2 linked regions of the Macaca fascicularis genome follow. Each later gene encodes a partner of the first gene's protein in a complex. Links are inferred from orthologs where the notes say so. Each region holds a gene or a part of one and is shown on either strand. Other genes may lie near its edges. The genes, in order: SYNRG and AFTPH.

Region 1 (10,319 bases):
CAGGGGCTCATGCCTGTAATCCCACCACTTTGGGAGGATCACTTGAGCCCAGGAGTTCAAGATCAGCCTGGGCAACATAGGGAGATATCATCTTTACAAAAAATCAAAAAATTACCTGGGCGTGGTGGCACGCACACGTGGCCCCAGCTATTTGAGAGACTGAGGTGGGAGGATCTCTTGAGCCCAGGAAGTCAAGGCTGCGGTGAGCTGTGATCATGCCACTGCACTCCAGCCTGAGCAGCAGAGTGACTGGACAGCTTTCCAAGATTGAGACCTCCTCTTTTAACCATTCTCTGTGTGTGTGTGTGTGTGTGTGTGTGTGTGTGTGTGTGTGTGTGTGTGTAGTGAATTAGATAATGCATGTGAAGAGCTTAGTATAGTGCTTGGCAAAGTAAGGGCTTATTAGCTGTTGTTCTATTTATGGTCTGTAGCTGGTGACTTTCAGTTCTCTCTGCAAGCAGTAGGCCTGTATGTCTATCCAACCACCTGCTTATGTAGCATGTGGCCTTTGCTGTCCCACAGGTGGCTCCAACTCAGCTTGGACCAAACTGAACTCTTCTCCTCAGCTTCCATCCTCAAACCTGGTCCTTCTTTCACATGTCTTATTATGGTGAATCCCTTCAGCTGCCCGGGTCCCCCAACCTCTCCCATCCAGCAGGTCACCCAGGCCTGCTCATTCTCCTGCCTTGGCAGCTCTTTTCCGTGTCCATTTCTCCCCATTCCCCACCGCCGCTGCCTTCATTCTGACCATCGGTATCTGTCTCCAGGACTGCTACAGCAGGCTTCTGGCTGAGACCCACGCCTTGAGGATTGCCACCCCCAATTCATTGTCTATACACTAGCAAGAGGGATCTGTCAATAATACGAACCTGGGCCTGTGCTGATCCAGTTGGAACCCCTAGTGGCTTCCAGGATGCTCCTTATCTTCCTTGAAGTCCTCATGCTGTGGCTTCATCTCCTCCTTTCGTGGGCTCTGCCCCCACCCTCTAGATTCCTTCCCATACCCCATCTTTAGCTCAGAGGCCTTTGCCTATGCTGCTTGTTCTGCATAGAATATCCTTCCCTCCCCTACCTCACCCAACCCCATCCCCTTCACCTAGCAGCTCCCATCTACACTCAGCCAAGGTGATTCTAAGTTCTAGGAAGCAGGCCGGATACGGTGGCTCATGCCTGTAGTCCCACCACTTTGGGAGGCTGAGGCGGGTGGATCACCTGAAATCAGGAGTTTAAGACCAGCCTGACCAACATGGTTAAGCCCTATCTCTACTAAAAATACAAAATTAACCGGGTGGGCCGGGCGCGGTGGCTCAAGCCTGTAATCCCAGCACTTTGGGAGGCCGAGACGGGCGGATCACGAGGTCAGGAGATCGAGACCATCCTGGCTAACACGGTGAAACCCCGTCTCTACTAAAAAATACAAAAAATTAGCCGGGCGCGGTGGTGGGCGCCTGTAGTCCCAGCTACTCGGGAGGCTGAGGCAGGAGAATGGCGTGAACCCGGGAGGCGGAGCTTGCAGTGAGCTGAGATCCGGCCACTGCACTCCAGCCCGGGCGACAGAGCAAGACTCTGTCTCAAAAAAAACCAAAAAAACAAAAAAAATTAACCGGGCGTGGTGGCGTGCCTGTAACCCCAGCTACTCAGAAGGCTGAGGCAGGAGAATCGCTTGAACCCGGGAGGTGGAGCTTGCAGTGAGCCGAGATCGCACCACTGCACTCCAGCCTGGGCGACAGAGTGAGACTCTGCCTCAAAAAAAAAAAAAAAAAAAAAAAAGTTCTAGGAAGCAGTCTCTGGCTTCAGTCCCCATCCTCCTCGGGTTGGGCTAAGTGCCCCTCCCTTGTGCCCTGGCACTCAGGACTTCCCCTAAGTAAGCACACCTGGCAATCATGGCACTGCACTGGCTCCCTGGCGCCCACCCGAGACCGAGTTCTCAGAGGACAGAGGGCGTGTTGTACTTGTGCCGGCCTTCCTAGCACCTGGAAGCATGACGGGTTCCCAGTGGATGTTTGGGAAGTTAAATTATTGTAGGGGTGGTGCTAGAGTACTTACGTTGCCGCTAGACCTACTGGGGGTGAGCAATGAGGGAGTGAAGCGAACAGCGTGTGGACTTGCTGGACTTCTTACCCGTTTGTCTTGTCATCCTCATCCTCACAGCCAGATGAAAACTCGCTGGATTTTTCCTCCTGTATGCTACGGCCTGGGATTAAAAATGCTCAGGAACTTGCCTGTGGAGTGTGCCTCTTGAACGTGGACTCGAGGAGCCGGGTAAGCCACGCAGCCTCGTTGCAGGTGGCAGAGGGCTTCCCTAACGTGACTCGGGACGACCTCATCTGGCCCACTTTACTGCGAAGTTTGTGACCAGAGGTGGGGATTTTCTCAAGTCCTAAAAGCTGATGATAGGAGCAGACACATCCCCTCGTGAGGGCAGCGGGGGAGCTGTGGCGGGAGTGGACGCGGCTCTCATGCCTGCAGCACCCTGTACGTAGTGGGGTGGTCAGGAGGAAAGGGTGAACCTGTAAGGATGTGTTCGGAGGCAAGAGGCCCTGTTCTGGGAATGTTGTTGACCTGTGGTTTCAACGTTATTTCAGAAAGAAGAGAAGCCTGCAGAAGAACATCCTAAAAAAGTATGAACCAGTTACACCTTATCTTAGCGTCTCCATTTTAATTTTGAGTGTGGAGGGCAAATTGGATGATTCCATCCATTGCATCCTGAACTGTTCCAGTCATGAATCCTTCACTGAGTCAGTCTGGTTCCCATAATGTTTGATTGAGTCTACTAATGTGTCTGTGTGGCTCCACTTCTGTCTTATTTGCATGCTTGTTTCTCATAATTGGCTTCTGGTGTTGCAGTTATTTTTCTCTGTGATGAATGGGGTGACAGAACGAGCAACTTCTGGAAGCCTGGAAGGTGTAGTGACACACAGAAGGAGATCAAAGAGCTTATCAGGATGTAGCCATTTAGCCATATTTTAACAGACAAGCCACAAGTTGTGTTTCAGAGTTTTGTTTATATGCAGTGCATTAGAACACTAACCCCAGGACGCGGCTGAGGTTTGGACTACTGTTCCATGGCTGGCTGTAGCTTACCGATAAGCCTACTCATCTGGAAATAATTCTTATGTGTTTAATGCCCATTCATTTCAAGGCTTTTTTTTTTTAAACTCTATACCTGTTTGGACTTTTTGATAATGTAGATTCAGTTATTCGCTCCCAATGCCATTCGACCCTAAGAGTTGTTAACTGCCGTTCTCTGACTCTCGTTCTCGAACTCTTGTAATTTTTTGTCATGATAGGCTTGTGGTCAGCTGCAGAAGTGTAAAGGATTGCATGCCGCAGTCCGATGCCAGCCTTAGGAGGAGGGCTTCCTTCAGCACAGTGAGGGATCCAAGCTATCCACAGCCCTCGGCTACTTTAGTTCCCCTTATGATTCCCCCGCTCCGCCCCATAACCTCTGTCTGCCTTTTCCATGGAAGATTTGGCCGCCTTTTCCCGAAACTAGGTTTAGTGGTAACAATTTTATAGCTTTAATTAGCAGTAAAAAACCTTCTCTCTTAAATTCCTGTAGCTACCCACTCAGCTTTTGTGTGTGCCATTTTGGCCTCAGCCTCTGTGACCTGGAGAGATGTACATGTTGGTTTCTGAAAAGCTCTGAGATGCAGAAAAAGCCTGACTTGTCCCACATCTCTGTTTATTTCTGGCAGGCATTCAACTCAGAAACAGACAGTTTCAAGCTGGCCTACGGAGGGCACCAGTATCACGCCAGCTGTGCCAACTTCTGGATCAACTGTGTCGAACCAAAGCCTCCTGGCCTTGTCCTGCCTGACCTGCTCTGAACAACTCCTCTGTGAAGCACTGACTTTTTTTTTCTGTGACACCCCACGGGGTGACAGGGACCAATCAGTAGAATGCGAGCGCTGCACAGTTCACTTCCCTGAATTGATGTGAAGAACACCGCAAGCGACGGGGCCCCCGTCACCCCCACGGCCAGTCTGCGGGGCTTCAGGTAAAATCGTCCCACTCAAGCGGCACGTGGCGCCAGAAGCTTGCTCACTTCTCTCTACTTTTCTTAAGGTTTTCTAAAATACAGACCACAGCTTTCTGGATCTAAGGAAGAACTTGCTGCTGCAGTATTGAAACTGTGAAGAACTGACATTTTTGAAGAAAAATAAACTACTGTTGCGGGACTAGAATGGGCAGCTGCTTGGAGCCAGTGCTTGTTTTTACCCAGAACACTTACTGTCCTGTGAAGTAGAGTGCATTTATTTGCATTTAGTTTGTTAATGTCTGAAATGAATAAAAAGAGGAAATTACGATTAAACTGATGTTCTGCTTTTTATGGAGAAGATTCTGCCCGTCTGCCCTGGACAGTAGCAGGGAGGTGAGGGCAGATTTTACCCACTTGGCTGTCACAACTGAACCAGTTCTCTACTCCTTCCCTTCATTGCTGTCAACGCTCAAGACTTTTTTCCAAAACATGCCTGCAGTCCTGAAGAATGGCACTCTGCAGTCCTGAAGAATGGCACTCTGCAGTCCTGAAGAATGCTCATTTTCACACAGGCCCAAATCCTGTGTATCAGGATAATATCCTTCCCTGCAGGAGCCTTCACTGCAAACCTGTTTTGCCGCATGCAAAGACTGTGACCATGGAGTTTTCTCAGACAAGATTTGTAAAGGCAGTGGAATGAAATCTCTTGGCAGTGGCCGCTCTCCAAATCTCCAAAGATGACTACATAGGGACCAACACTGCCTGACTTTGCAGTATCTGTGAGAAAAACCTGAAAATTAATTCAGGGTGAAAATGTGGAGTTCTTGGCCTAGTGTAAAGTATCAAGATGTATATTTATGGGATAGATACATGACTTAGAAGAAAATTGTCCAGAAATAGTACTGAGTTTTAGATGGAAAAGACTCGTGCTTCCTGGAGTAGGGAATTTTCTTTGCCATTTAATCTGAATGCATAAAATTAGGGGGAAAACTCAAGTGGCTAAGAGCTGTTATTCCTAGGAAGAACGTACCAATCTAGGGCACACGTCTCTCTGAATTGTTGATTATGCGCTTTATGAAGAGATTTTTCAATCTCATGTGCTTTACTTTGTGCGGTTTAGGCCCTCTGACCTAGACTTTTATTTTTAAACCGACAAAGTTGGTCTTGTCTATAATTGCTGCTTTTACATAATTTATTTTCCCTTCTCAGAACAAATTCTATCTTGGTCCGTCTTATAGCTTTTCCATGTTCTCCAAGAAAGGTGTGGAACATTTTCATTAAACAGCTGTTGCTGAGGCTCCTGCTTGACCTTCTGCTCGCCCCAATGCAGAGAGAGGCACCGAGGAGAGAAAGGCTTTTCTCACTCGCTCCCGATGATACCGTCTCTGGCCGTTCCTGACTGAGACAGCTCGCTCTGAATTGGTACCTTTGGAGCTTTTGCTCACCACAAGGCTAATGGGGTGTTTCTAACAACACAGGAGGGACAGCTTGTGGCAGGCTTTTCCTGAGGCCTCGGTGCTTTCATCCTGGGCGGCACCAGGTCCACATGGAGCTGGAATGCAAGCAGGCTTCTAATTGGTCTTAAAAATTTCTTTCTTTTTTTTGTTTTTTGAGATGGAGTTTCACTCTTGTCACCCAGGCTGGAGTGCAATAGCACAATCTCAGCTCACTGCAACCTCTGCCTCCCGAGTTCAAGCAATTCTCCTGCCTCAGCCCCACGAGTAGCTGGGATTACAGACATACGCCACCACGCCCGGCTAATTTTGTATTTTTAGTAGAGACAGGGTTTCTCCATGTTGGTCACGCTCGAACTCCCAACCTCAGGTGATCCGCCTGCCTCAGCCTCCCAAAGTACTGGGATTACATGCATGAGCCACCGCGCCTGGCCTAAATTTCATAACAGAACCATGACAGCAGAATCTACCTTTGCAATAAGAATGTTTCCCAGGAGTTAGAGACCAGCCCTGGGCAAGATGGCAAGACCCCAGCTAATTATACAAAAAATAATTAGCCAGGCATGGTGGAGTGCATCTGTGGACATTTGTGGTCCCAGCTACTAGGGAGGCTGAGGCAGGAGGATCACATGAGTCCAGGAGTCTTGACAGTGACTGTTAAAAATTTCTTTCTTTTTTACAACAGCCTAGGTGATAAGAGAGAGACTGTGTCTCTTAAAAAAAAAAAATAGTAAGTTTCCCAATTTGAAATGTTGCTAAGACATTTTTTTTGAAATGCTGTGTAGATGCCTATCATGTCACAGTGGCCCAGTATCGACATTTTAAAAAGTAAGCTTGTTAGCTGGGCTGGTTTCTATTCCTGAGAAATTCCAGAATGCCTCAGATACAATTCCTTAGTATAATTCCCACTTTCCTTACCAAGAGCGATAGGCTTAGTCACTCCGTGGGAGGTGCCACAGGAAAATTCAGCAGACGTCAACAGAAAAGCCTTTGCTATGAAAAGTATTCACTACCTTTCATATCTCTTGAATACTTGAAATGTTTAATTAGATGCCACCAATAGGGATCCAAGGAGTGTGGGACACCATTGCGCTGCTTTTCTTTATAAACATTTATTATAATGACTCAACACTGCATTCAGCTTCACCTCAGCTCTTCCTGTTAGCCAGGAGCCCCGTGTCCTTGGAAACCGTAACCAAGGTTACTTATTTCCATACTGTGTATTGTGTCAGCCCGCTTCACCCCACTGCTTGAATGGTGATTAATAGCACTTTTCTTTTTTTGGTGGGATGTTTTGCCTTTAAAATTTTTATGGCTTAGTGTGTAATTTCATTTTTGTCTGGACATGCTTGAGATAGAAGAGGTACTGGATGTATTAGGATATTTTCCATGCTTTATTTTTCCTGTGGCTACTAGTTAGCATTTCATAGGGGTTGTGAATTTTTGATTATTTGAATGTTTTGTGTCCATACACATATTTGAAGGGTTTTGGGGGTCTTATTTGTTTAAAGGTGTCTTCTGTTTGCCTGTTTAATGTGTACTTCAGCTTTGCAAAGATTATAGGGCTGTATGTTACAGAAATAGGAGATGCTGGCCCTGTACTGGGGACCACTACAAAAATTCCCCTGAACACCTTTGAGGTCAAATGCCTGCCTTTGTGAACAGTTCATAAACTGACATTTTCAGACATCTGCCATTCAGAAGGGAGCACTGTAGCCTGCTGTAGACCATTCCAGCAAATGTCAGAATGCAGGGCAAGATGTGTGTCGACTGTGTTTTTTAAGTTTAAATTACTTATTTCTTCAGGTGAGTGTGCACCAAATAACAATACTGAAAGGCCCGCCCCTTGCAAGGCCGAGGAAATAAAGCTTAAGTGAAACAGCTCTTGGGGGGAGAAATGCCACTTTACGAATACTTTTCTAACAAAATAGCATTATAATGAAGTTTTTACTTAATTCCATTATTTATATGTTGATGTGAATATAAGTGGTTAAAAAAGTATTCTTGTGGGACATCTCATTACTTTGTAGCTGTGGCGTTATTAACCAGTGAATGCTGTGGTCTGTAGCAAAATGCGTTGTCTTCTGTGTGATGTGGAATTCAGGCCTGTAATTTTAAAAGATGGTGTGGTTTTTCCCTTGTTCATATTTTAATAAACAACTGCTCTAATTGATATGTTTAGATATTATAAAGCTTTACCTTTAAAATATTTTCAGGGTCTGTTCTGAAATCACCCACTGTTAAACTTCCCTCACCAAAATACAAGTGTAGAAGAATGTCAGGCTACTAGACCTTTTCTTGGTCTTGTCTTTGTTGGGTTGATTTCACGTAGATGCAAGTCACGAGGATGAACAGGGGCCCACGCACTTAAGATTACAAAGGTGTTCAGCTTCCTGTGTGCGAAGAACTCTTAGTCACAGCCCCGCAGTGCTGCTTGCCAGGAATTCTACAGGTGATTTTCATTAATTACGAAGAACATCGGTCACCAGGTGTCTTCTCGCCCTAGGACAATGGTTATTTGGGGGCTCTTATTCAGAAACTCCCAGACTCAAAGCTCAGCCTCATACTAAAGCAGCCAGAGCCTCCCTGGATTATTTGTTTTTTTGTTTGTTTGTTTTTGATCTTACAGCATTTGTTGGTTCCTCTGATTTCTCATAGAAACTATTAATTTTTTTCCTTTTAATTTTTCTAGAGAATAATGATGCATGTTTATAACAGTGGGCAGCCAGAGGTATAAAGCAATAAAAGGTAGAACTTAGATGGAAAAAACCATTGCCACAAACCAGGTAAAATGTTTCGTGGATATTTGTCTAAGTATGTAGCTACTGGCCTATGTATGGCTTCCTGCCAAAATGGACCCAAAAAATCTAGAAAACGATTCCTCTGGTGCGCAAGCTACAACGTCCCTGACAAATGAGGCCAAAGAGCAGGGCTGCGACCGGTTCCCATCGCACGGGCAGACTCCCAGGAGGCCCTCCATCCAGAAGGCAGGCACGCCCTAGGACAGTGGTTATTTGGGGGCATGTGGAAAGCTTTCGCCCAGTTGTGTCCCAGGAGTGGGACAGAGGCGAGCTCATTCACCTTCTACCGTGTACCTGATGAGCGGTGCCGCCCATTTTATCAGGAGCAGTGACCTGGGTGACATTTCCAAAGTTAAAGGCAGCCATTTTTTGTTATTTGCTTATCGCTTATACTGAGGTTTGGTTTAGGGCATTTTTGTAGGTAGTAATAGTTGAGCAGAGGCACCTTTTATTGAAAACCAGTTTCTCTGATGGAGGACATGTTGCTTTGGGGTGCTCCACTAACCAAGAGGAAACCAAAACTAGCACCCCGATCAGAGCGTGCACTCTTATCTCCCACCGCCCAGCACTGGGGACAGTGTGTCTGCCACCCACCAGGATGTGAAGCGCCGACAGGACTCTGCTGGGATGTGTATTTTAAGTGGTGTTCACAACTGTCATAAGAGCCGTATTTTAGCAGTTACTGGAGAGCACCTTTTTTTCCATCATCGACACACACACATATCCTGAAATTATTAGTAAAAATTCTAATGTTAAGCATATAGATTTATTAAAAATAATGCTAATATAATCCTGGGCACATGGATTCCAAGAGTTTTTGCAGCAGATTTCATTATAGTTACTTAACAGCTAAATAATAAGGGTGTATTTAACTTACAGAGTCACTAAATAATAGAGGGGAAAGGAAAGAGTAGGGCTAATCCAGTAGAGACTGAAGCTGGTATCAACCTTCCCTAAGCATCTGTCTGGTCAGCAGCCTGGGGCGAAGCTTGTCTCTAAAGGGTTAATGAGGCCCCAAAGTGATTTTTGCACTGAGCTCCTCCTGCACCTACCAAGGTGCCAAAGGCATGAGATTCAGAAGAGAGCAGAACCAAACAGTTTATTAAACTGTTCAAATTGATAAAAATGATTAAAAGCTAAAGATTTTCATAAACACTATTCCAAAATGTTAATTTTAAAAATGTGACTAGCAATGTATGCATTCCCTTTATGTCCCCTCCCTCCCTCTCTCTTAAAATAAATTTGAACACCCAGTGTAAAAAACACTTCAGGGAGAACCAGAAGTCAGCCATTTGAGAAGACAGTGGAGAGGGAGCAGACGGCGGGGAGCAGACACTGGTCCCACTCGGGCTGCTGACGCAGGCTTCGGTGGCACTAAATCCCCCAGTAAGGCATCAGGTGTCGGGACTCCTTCTCATAGACGTCGGGAACTATGCCGTAAGGTGTCTGTACCATTTTAACTGTCGACTTCCCAAAGAGCTGGCGCTCGTAGTCTATCAGCTGCCTCCAGAAGCCTACGTTGGGCCTGATGACAGGTCGCCGGGCTTTCACCCAGTTGTACGCCTCCAGCAGGCACACGTTGTGGAATTTCATCAGGTAGGCGATACAGAGCGTGGCTGAGCGGCTCACCCCGGCAGCACAGTGCACCAGGGTGGCCCCGTGCTTCCTGCTCACACTGTGGATCTTGTCAGCCACGGTGTCAAAGTACAGTCCAATGGGGGCGTGCGGCATGTCAGCCAGAGGCACTTTAACATACTCAAATTGGGGCCAGTTGAAATTAGGGATCTCAATGGTAGCATTAACAATGCAGGTGATGCCACGAGCCTGGAGGAGGTGCCGATTGGAGGCCACACTGCCTCTGCCCAGGAATAGAGAGGAGGTGATTTGAGCAATGCCTCCTAAGTCTCCCTCGGAAATCATCCGAGGGGCCATGAGAGTCCTTGGTAGTGTGCTGTGACCTCTGGAGCTCATGAAGACGCCAGCAGTCACACTTGCATCGTTGGGGGCAAGACCAGAGTGTTTGATTTTCCTCCACCAAGGAATCCAAAATCACAGTCTCCTTCCTGCAAAATACAGGTATGT
Region 2 (10,319 bases), on another chromosome or scaffold:
TTTGTGTTAGATACAACTAAAGATGACATCTAAGGTTAAGAAATGACAAAACATGGCAAGAATATGTTTTAGAAATGGTAATGTTCACTTAAAAATACTAAGCTTCTAAAAATACAATATTTAACCAGCACTGAGTCAGTTTCTAACTTGATATGGAAAGAGTAAGCAAGCCCAAATGGCCCATTTTACCTAGACAAAAAGTGAGAGAAGACTTTATATTAACATATTAGTCTGAAAAAAAATTTGTGCTTAAGTGTGCCAAGGAGGTAAAGGATAAGAAAGGCAAGACAGTTTTCTGGCTGGGTGTGGTGGCTCACACCGTAATCCCAGCACTTTGGGAAGCTGAGGTGGGTGGATCACCTGAGGTCACAAGTTCGATACCAGCTTGGCCAACATGGTGAAACTCCGTCTCTACTAAAAACACAAAAATTAGCTGGGCTTGTTGGCACATGCCTGTAGTCCCAGCTACTTGGGAGGCTGAGGCAAGAGAATTGCTTGAACCCGGGAGGCAGAGGTTATAGTAAGCCAAGATCACACTACTGCACTCCAGCCTGGGAGACAGAGCAAGACTCCATCTCAAAAAAAAAAAAAAAAGTAAGACAGTTTTCTATTTTCCTAATCCATAGATTGTTCAGTTAAAGGTCACGTCATTTTTGAGTTAAATAACCATTTTGCTTAAACTCTAAAAACAAGTTTAAGGCAATGGACATACCTAACCTTTACTACTGCTTTATAAAATTTCACAGGATTCCAGAAAAAATACTAGTTCTGCAGGTGTTACTACTCCCCTGTACACTAGCAGACTTATAGAGTTGGTATAAATACAATGTTTCCTTTTTTCTTTTCTTTTTCTTTTTGAAAATCCAGCACTTACCAGATTTGTGTCAGTAATTATGATTACACAATATTCAAACTGTAAGGGACTTTAGAGATATTCATTTTAAACCCTTCAATTTATAGATAAAGAGACTAAGGCCTGGAAAGGTTTAAGAACTTACCCATAATCACCCATTTCTCAAATTGAGCTTTTCTGTTTTCAAAAATTAAAGACGATTTGTTCATTGTATTCCAAGGGATGTTAATCAAAATCATATCCATCATTAAATCAAGCTTTAAAAATATTTTTAAAACAGTCATAAATGAAGGAAAAAGGCAGTATGTGTGGATATATGTGTATATACATGCATAAACATTTATACACATATAGATATTTTTACCTGGAACTGATCAGATGTACATGTGTTCATATCTGGTGACACGGTGGCTGTCTGACCGATGGAAGCTATTTTTTCTGCAGCAGAAAGTGGTTTCAATGGTTCCTTGGTGGGCTCTAACATACCCTGAAAAAGGAATATTAGCCTTTAATGGTGGTAGGGGCCACAGCCCACAAGCTTAAGTTAATCTATCAGAAAGGAGAAAAAGACAGGTCACTTGGAAAGTACTGAAGACAAAAAGGAAGTAGTCTTTTTGTTTTTTTTTCTAAGAGACATATTTAAGAGACAAGGTCTCACTATGTTGCCCAGGCTGGCCTCAAACTCCTTGGCTCAAGGGATCCTCTTGCCTCAAGCTCATGTCACCACACCTGGCTATTCTTAAATTTTATTTACTGAAAATCCTATAGCACTATAATGAGAACCATTCACAATACCTTTAGAATCAAAAGTTTTTAAAGCAAGACTTTGTATTGTAAATCAGATGTTTTAAAGTACAGGGTTATTACTGTCACATGAAAGCATAAGCACCAACTCGGGATGGGTTGGGGGAGACAACAATATGTCACATCTAACCTCTAAAAATCCAACACTTTAATGACACTAAAATGGAAAGGGCACCCTTTGTACACATTACCCCATGGTGGTGTGAGAAGTGAGAGCTGATTCTAAAACACACCATATAATATGACATCTATATCCTTCAGTGTAAATGTAATGTTTGATCCTGATCCCTATGACGGCACTGGAAACTTAGTTCCTTGGACAGGCAAAGCAGATATACAGCCTTTTTAGAGAGGAAAACATCTTACAGGTTCCACAGGGTTTGTTACAAATCTAATATACTTTTTTTTTTTTTTTTTTTAATTGAGATGGAGTTTCGCTCTTGCTGCCCAGGATGGAGTGCAGTGGCGTGATCTTGGCTCACTGCAACCTCTACCTCCTGGGTTCAAGCGATTCTCCTGCCTTAGCCTCCTGGGAAGCTAAGAAACAGGTGTCCACCACCATGTGTGGCTCATTTTTTGTATTTTTTTAGTAGAGATGGGACGTTGGCCAGGCTGGTCTTGAACTCCTGACCTCAGGTGATCCACCCGTCTTGGCCTCCCAAAGTGCTAGGATTACAGGCGTGAGCCACCGCGCCCGGCCTAATATGCTTTTTGAGTAAGAAAGATAGATGTTCAGTATGGCTACAGAAATAGGAAAAAAATCAGTATTTTTCATCAACACTCTACCAAACTCAAAATGGGCCATAATCTAGGTCTGAAAAAAGTCAAACTGTTACATGTTTTAAAATAATATCTGATAAGCTTTTGAATATTTTTCAATCAAAGGTTATATCCTAGACAAAATCACCCTTAACTGGACCAAAAAGAAACAAACAAAACAAAACTCAAAGCTGCTAAGTCATTAATGTTAGAATCTGTAAATTTCTAAAATTTTCAGGAGAATCCCTGCCTCCTCCCTTCCCCAATAAAATAGGCGTAAACTAAAACAGTTTGCAGAATCAATTCTTAACAGTAGCACATCTGAAAGGCTTTAACCCAGCAGCTAGAAAAATGAAAGAAGTTCATGGCCTGACTCAATACCATAAGTATTATACAGGCTCTCTAGTGTGCCCGTATGCAGAGTCGATACATTTGGTAAACAATTACTAGTCTCAGCCAAGGCTTGTAATTTGAATGATCACTTTAAGCAGTGGTTCTGAAATTGTGATCCCCGATCAGCAGCTTCTGTGTCACCTTGGAACTTGTCAGATGTACAAATTCTCGAGCCTACCTCAGAAATATTGAACAAGAAACGGGGGTGGCGGGGGGGTGCTCAGCAATTTGTGTTTTAACAAGTCTTCCAAGTGATTCTGATACACATGAAAGTTTGAGAACCAGTGGCTTAAATGATCATTTCAGGTACTATTTCTCCAGGTGAGATCAAAAGATTATTGAACATCTCATACATGTAAGGCACCATGGGTAAAGTTAGCTATAAATTAAAACTTGATATTAAAAGAAAGGTTTCTAAATGAAAGATATCACAAAGATGGAGGAGGGGAGATACATTTATATTCATTAAACTTTAGTATTAAAGCTTATATAGAAATAGTAGCTATAGGTATGAGCTGATAGATGTGAAAATAAACTGGAAAAAAGGTGGCGGGGAGGAAAGAAGTGGAAAAAAAAGCCCATAGAAATAGTAAAAATATTTTTTTTTTTTTTAATTTTTTTTTATTTTTTTAATTAAGTAAAAATATTTCTAATAAAGGTTGAAAAATAAAGCATAAGCTTTAGCTTCTAACTCCTCACAAACCTCACAGAACTGGTTAATGGGGTGAGGCTACACATTAGCATTAAGTAGGTCACTGCCCTTAATATGCTGAATGAAAGTGCCTACAAATTAAATTCCTAGTTCCATAACATCAACAACCTCTGGAGTGCTACTCCTTGAGAAAAAAAGAAATCCAAATAACCAAAAAGTTAAAGAAATGTTCAGCATTATATTTACCTACAACAGAAAACAATGGGGAATCATCAAAGTGTTTTTAAAGTACATGATAAAAACCATTTACGAAGGAGTAAACACTGATTTAAAAAAAACAAAACTCTAGAAAATTCCACAAAAATCAAAATGTTCCAATTCAAAATCAATAATTAGTGCTTATTCATGGAGAAAGTTTATAGATTTAAAGGTCAAGTTCCACAGCAAATTGTCACATGCACATAATAGGGTTGTATAAATTCTATACCAAAGATTCCTTCATTATTTTTCCCTTATTTCCAATTTAACGGTTAGAGTAATGTTTTAAGTTTGATGGGGCATTTTTATTCATCAATAAAAATATATTTTTTTCATCAATAAAAAAGACACACCAAAAAACACAAACATCAAACTTTAAAATGTGACTGAGTCTTGAGAAGGAACAGAATGAAAATGTCTGTTTTCCGGTACTACCTGGCATATCTGAAAAAACAAAATTCAACACATTTAAAACATTAATGGAAAAACTAAGAACCCATTATAAGTCCTGGCTCATTTTAATTTCACTATAATTTGGTGTTTCTAAGCTTTTATGTACATCTATAGCCTCAATATTGCATTATTTAAAATTAATAACTGAATTAAAACAAATTACATCTCTAGGCCTTCAGATACTTCAGCTGCTTTTTCTTTTTTCTTTTTTTTTTTTTTTTTGTTGAGACGGAGTCTCGCTTTGTCACCCAGGCTGGAGTGCAGTGGCCGGATCTCAGCTCACTGCAAGCTCCGCCTCCCGGGTTTACGCCATTCTCCTGCCTCAGCCTCCCGAGTAGCTGGGACTACAGGCGCCCGCCACCTCGCCCGGCTAGTTATTTTTTGTATTTTTTAGTTGAGATGGGGTTTCACCGTGTTAGCCAGGATGGTCTTGATCTCCTGACCTTGTGATCTGCCGTCTTGGCCTTCCAAAGTGCTGGGATTACAGGCTTGAGCCACCGCGCCGGGCCCCAGCTGCTTTTTCTTTAAAGCAAGTTTAGAAAAGAAAAAGAATCCTCCAAAGGTGCATTTTACAAACAGTTATATATGCTAATATTAGTAAGATAAAAATTTTCAATCTAAAACAAAACAGTATCTGTAATTAATGAAATATTTTAAAAGTCCTGCGATCAGTATTTGATGGGATTTATGAGTTCAAAAAAGATCTATTTATACCCTTCAGAATCCAACACTAAACGTCTCTTATATAGCATGACAGAGAAGTATATTTTAAGATGATTTTACAGAATAAATGCAGTAATGATAAATACATGCAGAGAGATTTTTGTACTTACCAATCCTGCTGCATACATGGGCACTATAACAGGCTGCTTCTTATTGCCCGTGAAGAGCTACACACACGTGTTAGACAGACAGAAAGAACATATATTTAGAGAATAATCTATCATACAATGAAACAGTTTCCAAATATGCTTGCGATGTTTTATTACATATATTGGGAATAATAAATTGATGAAACTTAAAAATTGCCCATATGGGGTCATTTTATCTCCCAGTCCAATTCCTTCATTTTATATTTAAGAAAAACTACTAAAACAATTTTTTCTAAAAATAAGTATTGAAGAAAAATTTAGGTAGATTGATGTTTAAAAGTCAGCACATTCAATATAAAGGAACATTTAAACCAAATATTTATTTTCTGAGGAACTAGCTTACCACAGCTTAAACAGAAGTATAACAGAATTTTAAAACACCCACAGGTTGATTAAAAGATTTTTCAAGGTACTAACAAACTCACAATGTTTCGGGTGTCTATTCCCAAGGAGCACAAAAGCTTCTTGTTGCTATGGGAGCCGCCCCACTGGTATCTCAAGCCATGTGCATCATGGATATCCTGTAGCTCAGTCCACACATCTAGCAATTCCCTGCAAAGGCCATGATGAAGCCATCAACAATAGGTTACTCAATAACTTTCACCATGAGTTCTACTTACAATATGGCTGTGACATGTTACACATTCCAATTATTCTTGGGTCCAACGTAAGTATATAACTATTTGAATGAAATCAAGAGCCAACACTTACAGTCACTAGAAAAATAACTAAGTGAGGCCAGGCATGGTGGCTCATGCTTGTAATTCCAGCACTTCGGGAGGCCGAGGCGGGCGGATCACCTGAGGTCAGGAGTTCTAGACCAGCCTGGCCAACATGGTGAAACCCCATCTCTACTAAAAAATACAAAAAATTAGCCAGACATGGTGGTGGGCACCTGCAATCCCAGCTACTCAGGAGGCCAAGGCAGGAGAATCGCTTGACCCAGGAGGAAGAGGTTGCAGTGAGCCAAGATCACTCCAGCCTGGGCAACAGAGTGAGACTCTGTCTCAAAGAAAAAAAGATATTTCATTGTGAAATTTCAGAACATCAGCAACAAAGAGATCTTAAACTATAAATTTAATGTGAGAGTAGAATAAAATTTTACCTCCCATCTATTTTTTTTTCTCAGAAGGCTGTTGGAGGATGTGCTCCACCAAAATGGGATCTAAGTGAAGGGAAGTCCCAAGACAACATATGTGTAAGCCCAGACTGAAACCATTCTAGATGGGAGCAGAATAAGGGGTTGGATCACAAGTGTATGAACAAGCTCTCAAAGGGTAGGGAAACACTAATGAAAAAGAGAAGCCCAGGAAGAAGTTGTACTATAAAGAAAACAGTGGCTTAAGAGTAAACAATATATACATGATTATAATAATGAAAATGCCAAATAAGAAATTAACCAAAAACTGATATATGGGGAAGATGAGGGGAGAATAGCAGAGGTAAGATCTAAATTTTCAGTTACCATTCTAAGAAGTCAAAAAATAATATATAACATCAATTGATTAGAATATTGATATAGAAATATAAAAACAAACAGCTCAAAAGAGGCAGGGAGTTTAGGTTTTGACACAATGTTTTTGAGCCTTAATTTTTTTTATTTTTTATTTTTTGGAGATAGAGTCTTGCTCTGTCACTCAGGCTGGAGTGCAATGATCTTGGCTCACTGCAACCTCCATCTTCTGGGTTCAAGTGATTCTTGTGCTTCAGCCTCAATCCCAAATAGCTGGGATTACAGGCATGCGCCACCACACCCTACTAATTTTTTTGTATTTTTTAGTAGGGACAGGGTTTCACCATGTTGGTTAGGCTGGTCTCAAACTCCTGACCTCAGGTGATCCACTGCGCCCGGCCTGAACCTTAATGTTTTAAGATAAACTTATAAATTAGAACTGCTGAAAGTAACAAAAACACATGCTATCTAAAAACTCTCTTCTACTTACCCACTTTCAGGTAAGGCCTCTCTTGTTTTTATTGGCAAAGTGCTTGTTTCCAGCAAGTGCTTCAGGGAAGTAACTTCCTCTTCAGCATCAGGGACAAGTATGGAAGGAAAACATGCTTCGAAAATTCGCTCCAGGCGGTTTAATAAAGCTGTCTGCATCAAAACACCCCCCAAAAGTTTATTTTCATTTAATATTGATATCATAGTAATAGCATTAAAATGCAAACACATGCACACCCTGTCCACTACTGTAAGAACCATCACTCAGATACAGAAAACACTAAGTGAAAAGAACACAACTACTCACGAAACAATCACTCTAAATGATTAATTTAAATAATGATGATGAGCTACGTAGCTGGCAAGTAAAAGCAACGTGCCAAGCAATATACCTGCTACTTTACATGTAGTATCTTAATCTATTACAAAATTCTACAAAAAATAAATTACCCAATTCTACAGTGAGAAAGCAATCTCAATGTGTGAATAATCTGCCCAAAGCAAAACCCAAAAAACCCAGAGAGCATTTATATTCTTTCCACCACACTGGAATGTCTCTTACCACCACTCATCTACTCTAGATTTAGGAACAAAAAGATCGGATGCTTGTGAGAAGTATTATGCTATTATAGCTAAACAATCTTTTTTTTTGGACATAAACACGAATTTTGATAGCCTTTTGGAAATATTTTTGCTGCTAATAGTACAAAGCAAAGTAGGAAAGAATGTCTCAATTTTTACTGATAAAAAATTCAAAAAGCTCATTCATCATTTTGGTGATATGTATTATCTTTTAGATATTCCATTTCTACTCGTCTTTGTTGCATGTCTATTTTTGAATAGAATACTACCTTTCTCCTAAGTAAAGCCTTCATATTCCCCAGAGTAGTTTCACCAAGAACAAACAGATAAATCTCTTGGCATTTTCTTTTACGTATTTTTATTAACTAAAACTTGTTGGATTTAGATCAACTTAGTTTTGGTACCACTAGGTTTACTATACATGTGTAACCTACAATAACATTTATTCCTATTTTCCTATTTCAGATACATGTAATATATTTTCCAACTTAGCCCAGTTTACCATGTAAACATCAACTACAAATACAAATTGTTAGTAAGTTAAAGCCTGCTGTAAGATTAAGTTTACTATTGAATTGACAGACTGTATGAGCAAAATGCCACATCATGGTGGTACTTCCTGCCAAGTAACAAAAACAAGCTGATACTTGATTTCTGTTTTGTAGTGTAGTGAGCACCCAAGAAAATTTAAAAAAAAAAAAAAAAAGGAAAAGGAAAAAATTTCACCTTTTCTTAATCCAAATCTCTTTTGGAAGCTGTATCAGAGTAAAAATTTAACACTGCATAATTAGTCTCAGGGTACTCTTTTGTAATTCTATAAAAGTTACATCATAATTATATTCATGTGTGTGATATTAGAAAAGGTTCTCACTATCAATTATGAACCCTAAGTAAAGGGTAGCCTCAAGATCCCAAGGCTTGTGAAACTTGAGTGCATCAAGGGGCCCTTGCTCTCACTTGCCTCAACAGAGGGAACGGACAGACATTATTTTCAAAGAGATCAGATAACCACCTAATTGGATACATGATTGGCTCCTCCTGGGCAGGGAAGATAAACAAAAAACTCACATATGACCAAATTTTATTTCTCTGTAAATTAAATCTTTCTTGTATCCTCTTTGTTATCTTTTTAATGGGATAGGAAAAAAATGTTTACCACAGGAAGAAAAGAAATGACCCTAAAACACATCGAACCACTTGGGCAATGTTACACATAACTGCCAGGTGTCAAGACACCAGCAAAATTCTCAAATGAGTGGAATGAAGCTGAGGCAAAGAAACATTACCTAATTGCCTCAATTTTTACTTCTTCTTCAGCCTTTTCCCATAAAGGATATAAGTTGAATGGAAATTTCTAAAGAAAGTTTCACATATGTTTAGGATCAGATATTACATTAGATTGCTTCAAATCTTATGTTGAATAAGATAAAGCAGGAGATTAGCAATCTTTTCTTTAGAGAGCCAGATAGTAAATACATTTGGCCTTGTAGGCCATTCGTAAAGGAATAAGCATGGGTATGTTCCAGTGAAACTTATTTACAAAAACAGGCGGCAGGACAGATTCATTCTGTGGGTCATGGTTTGACCCCTTGAGATAGAGCTGTAAATAATAAATAACCAGCATCCATTAACAGCATTGCCCAACATTTTTTTTTTTTTGAGATGGTCTCACTCTGTCACCCAGGCTGGAGTGCAGTGGCGCAATCTCGGCTCACTGCAAGCTCCGCCTCCCGGGTTCACACCATTCTCCTGCCTCAGCCTCCCAAGTAGCTGGGACTACAGGTGCCCACCACCACGCCCCGCTAATTTTTTATTTTTAGTAGACGGGGTTTCACCGTGTTAGCCAGGATGGTCTCAATCTCTTGACCTGGTGATCTGCCCGCCTCGGCCTCTCAAAGTGCTGGGATTATAGGCGTGAGCCACTGCGCCCAGCCCAAAGATTTTTATTAAAATTAAATTTGCTCTGACATTTTACTTTTAAAAGTGTATCAATTTCCGGCCAGGTGCAGTGTCTCACGCCTGTAATCCCAGCACTTTGGGAAGCCGAGGCAGGTGGATTGCTTGAGGTCAGGAGTTTGAAACCAGCCTGGCCAACGTGGTGAAACCCCATCTCTACTAAAAATACAAAAATTAGCAGGGCATGGTGATACACACCTGTAGTCCCAGCTACTCAGGAGGTTGCGGCATGAGAATCGCTTGAACCAGGCAGGTGGAGGTGGCAGTGAGCTGAGATCGTGCCACTGTAGTCCAGCCTGGGTGATAGAGCAAGACTTGGTCTCCAAAAAAAGTATATTAATTTCCATAAGACCAGTTTGGTGGTAAGGGCATCCTGTAACGACTTTCTCACCACTATCTTGTTCTTGGTAATAAATAAGGCCAAATTTAACTTACTATTAGTTAATTCCAGTAAGTAAATGACTGGTATAACACTTCAATAGAGGGCTATAGATCCAGGGGCTAAGACTCCAGTTTCTACATTTATTTTTATTTTTATTTTTTTGAGACAGAGTCTTACTCTGTCACCGAGGCTGGAGTGTAGTGGTGCGATCTCAGCTCACTGCAACCTTAGCCTCCCAGGTTCAAGTGACTCTGCTGCCTTAGTCTCCCAAGTAACTGGGATTACAGGTGCCCACCACTGTTTCTGCCCAGTTTCTGCATTTATAATCTGGAGATATCAGGGTCTATCTACCTCATGAGGTGGACGATAATTTAGAGGATTAAATACTTGGCACCCAGGGTGTCAGAGGTGGC

Evidence for each region.
Region 2: SYNRG (region 1) and AFTPH share a complex: the UniProt entries of both Homo sapiens proteins name them as parts of the aftiphilin/p200/gamma-synergin complex. The link is inferred for Macaca fascicularis from reciprocal best matches to the Homo sapiens genes SYNRG and AFTPH.

Annotation. Positions count from the first base shown.
Region 1 is NC_088390.1:43,469,984-43,480,302, forward strand, and holds the end of SYNRG (synergin gamma), read left to right. Parts: intron 1-2,151; coding exon 2,152-2,262; intron 2,263-2,585; coding exon 2,586-2,621; intron 2,622-3,698; coding exon 3,699-3,830; 3' UTR 3,831-7,609; downstream 7,610-10,319. Other genes in the region: DUSP14 (dual specificity protein phosphatase 14), read right to left, coding at 9,612-10,208. UniProt on the Homo sapiens protein: Plays a role in endocytosis and/or membrane trafficking at the trans-Golgi network (TGN). May act by linking the adapter protein complex AP-1 to other proteins. Component of clathrin-coated vesicles.
Region 2 is NC_088387.1:57,352,029-57,362,347, forward strand, and holds part of AFTPH (aftiphilin), read right to left. Parts: intron 7,140-10,319; coding exon 6,988-7,139; intron 5,597-6,987; coding exon 5,470-5,596; intron 5,063-5,469; coding exon 5,006-5,062; intron 1,341-5,005; coding exon 1,218-1,340; intron 1-1,217. UniProt on the Homo sapiens protein: Component of clathrin-coated vesicles.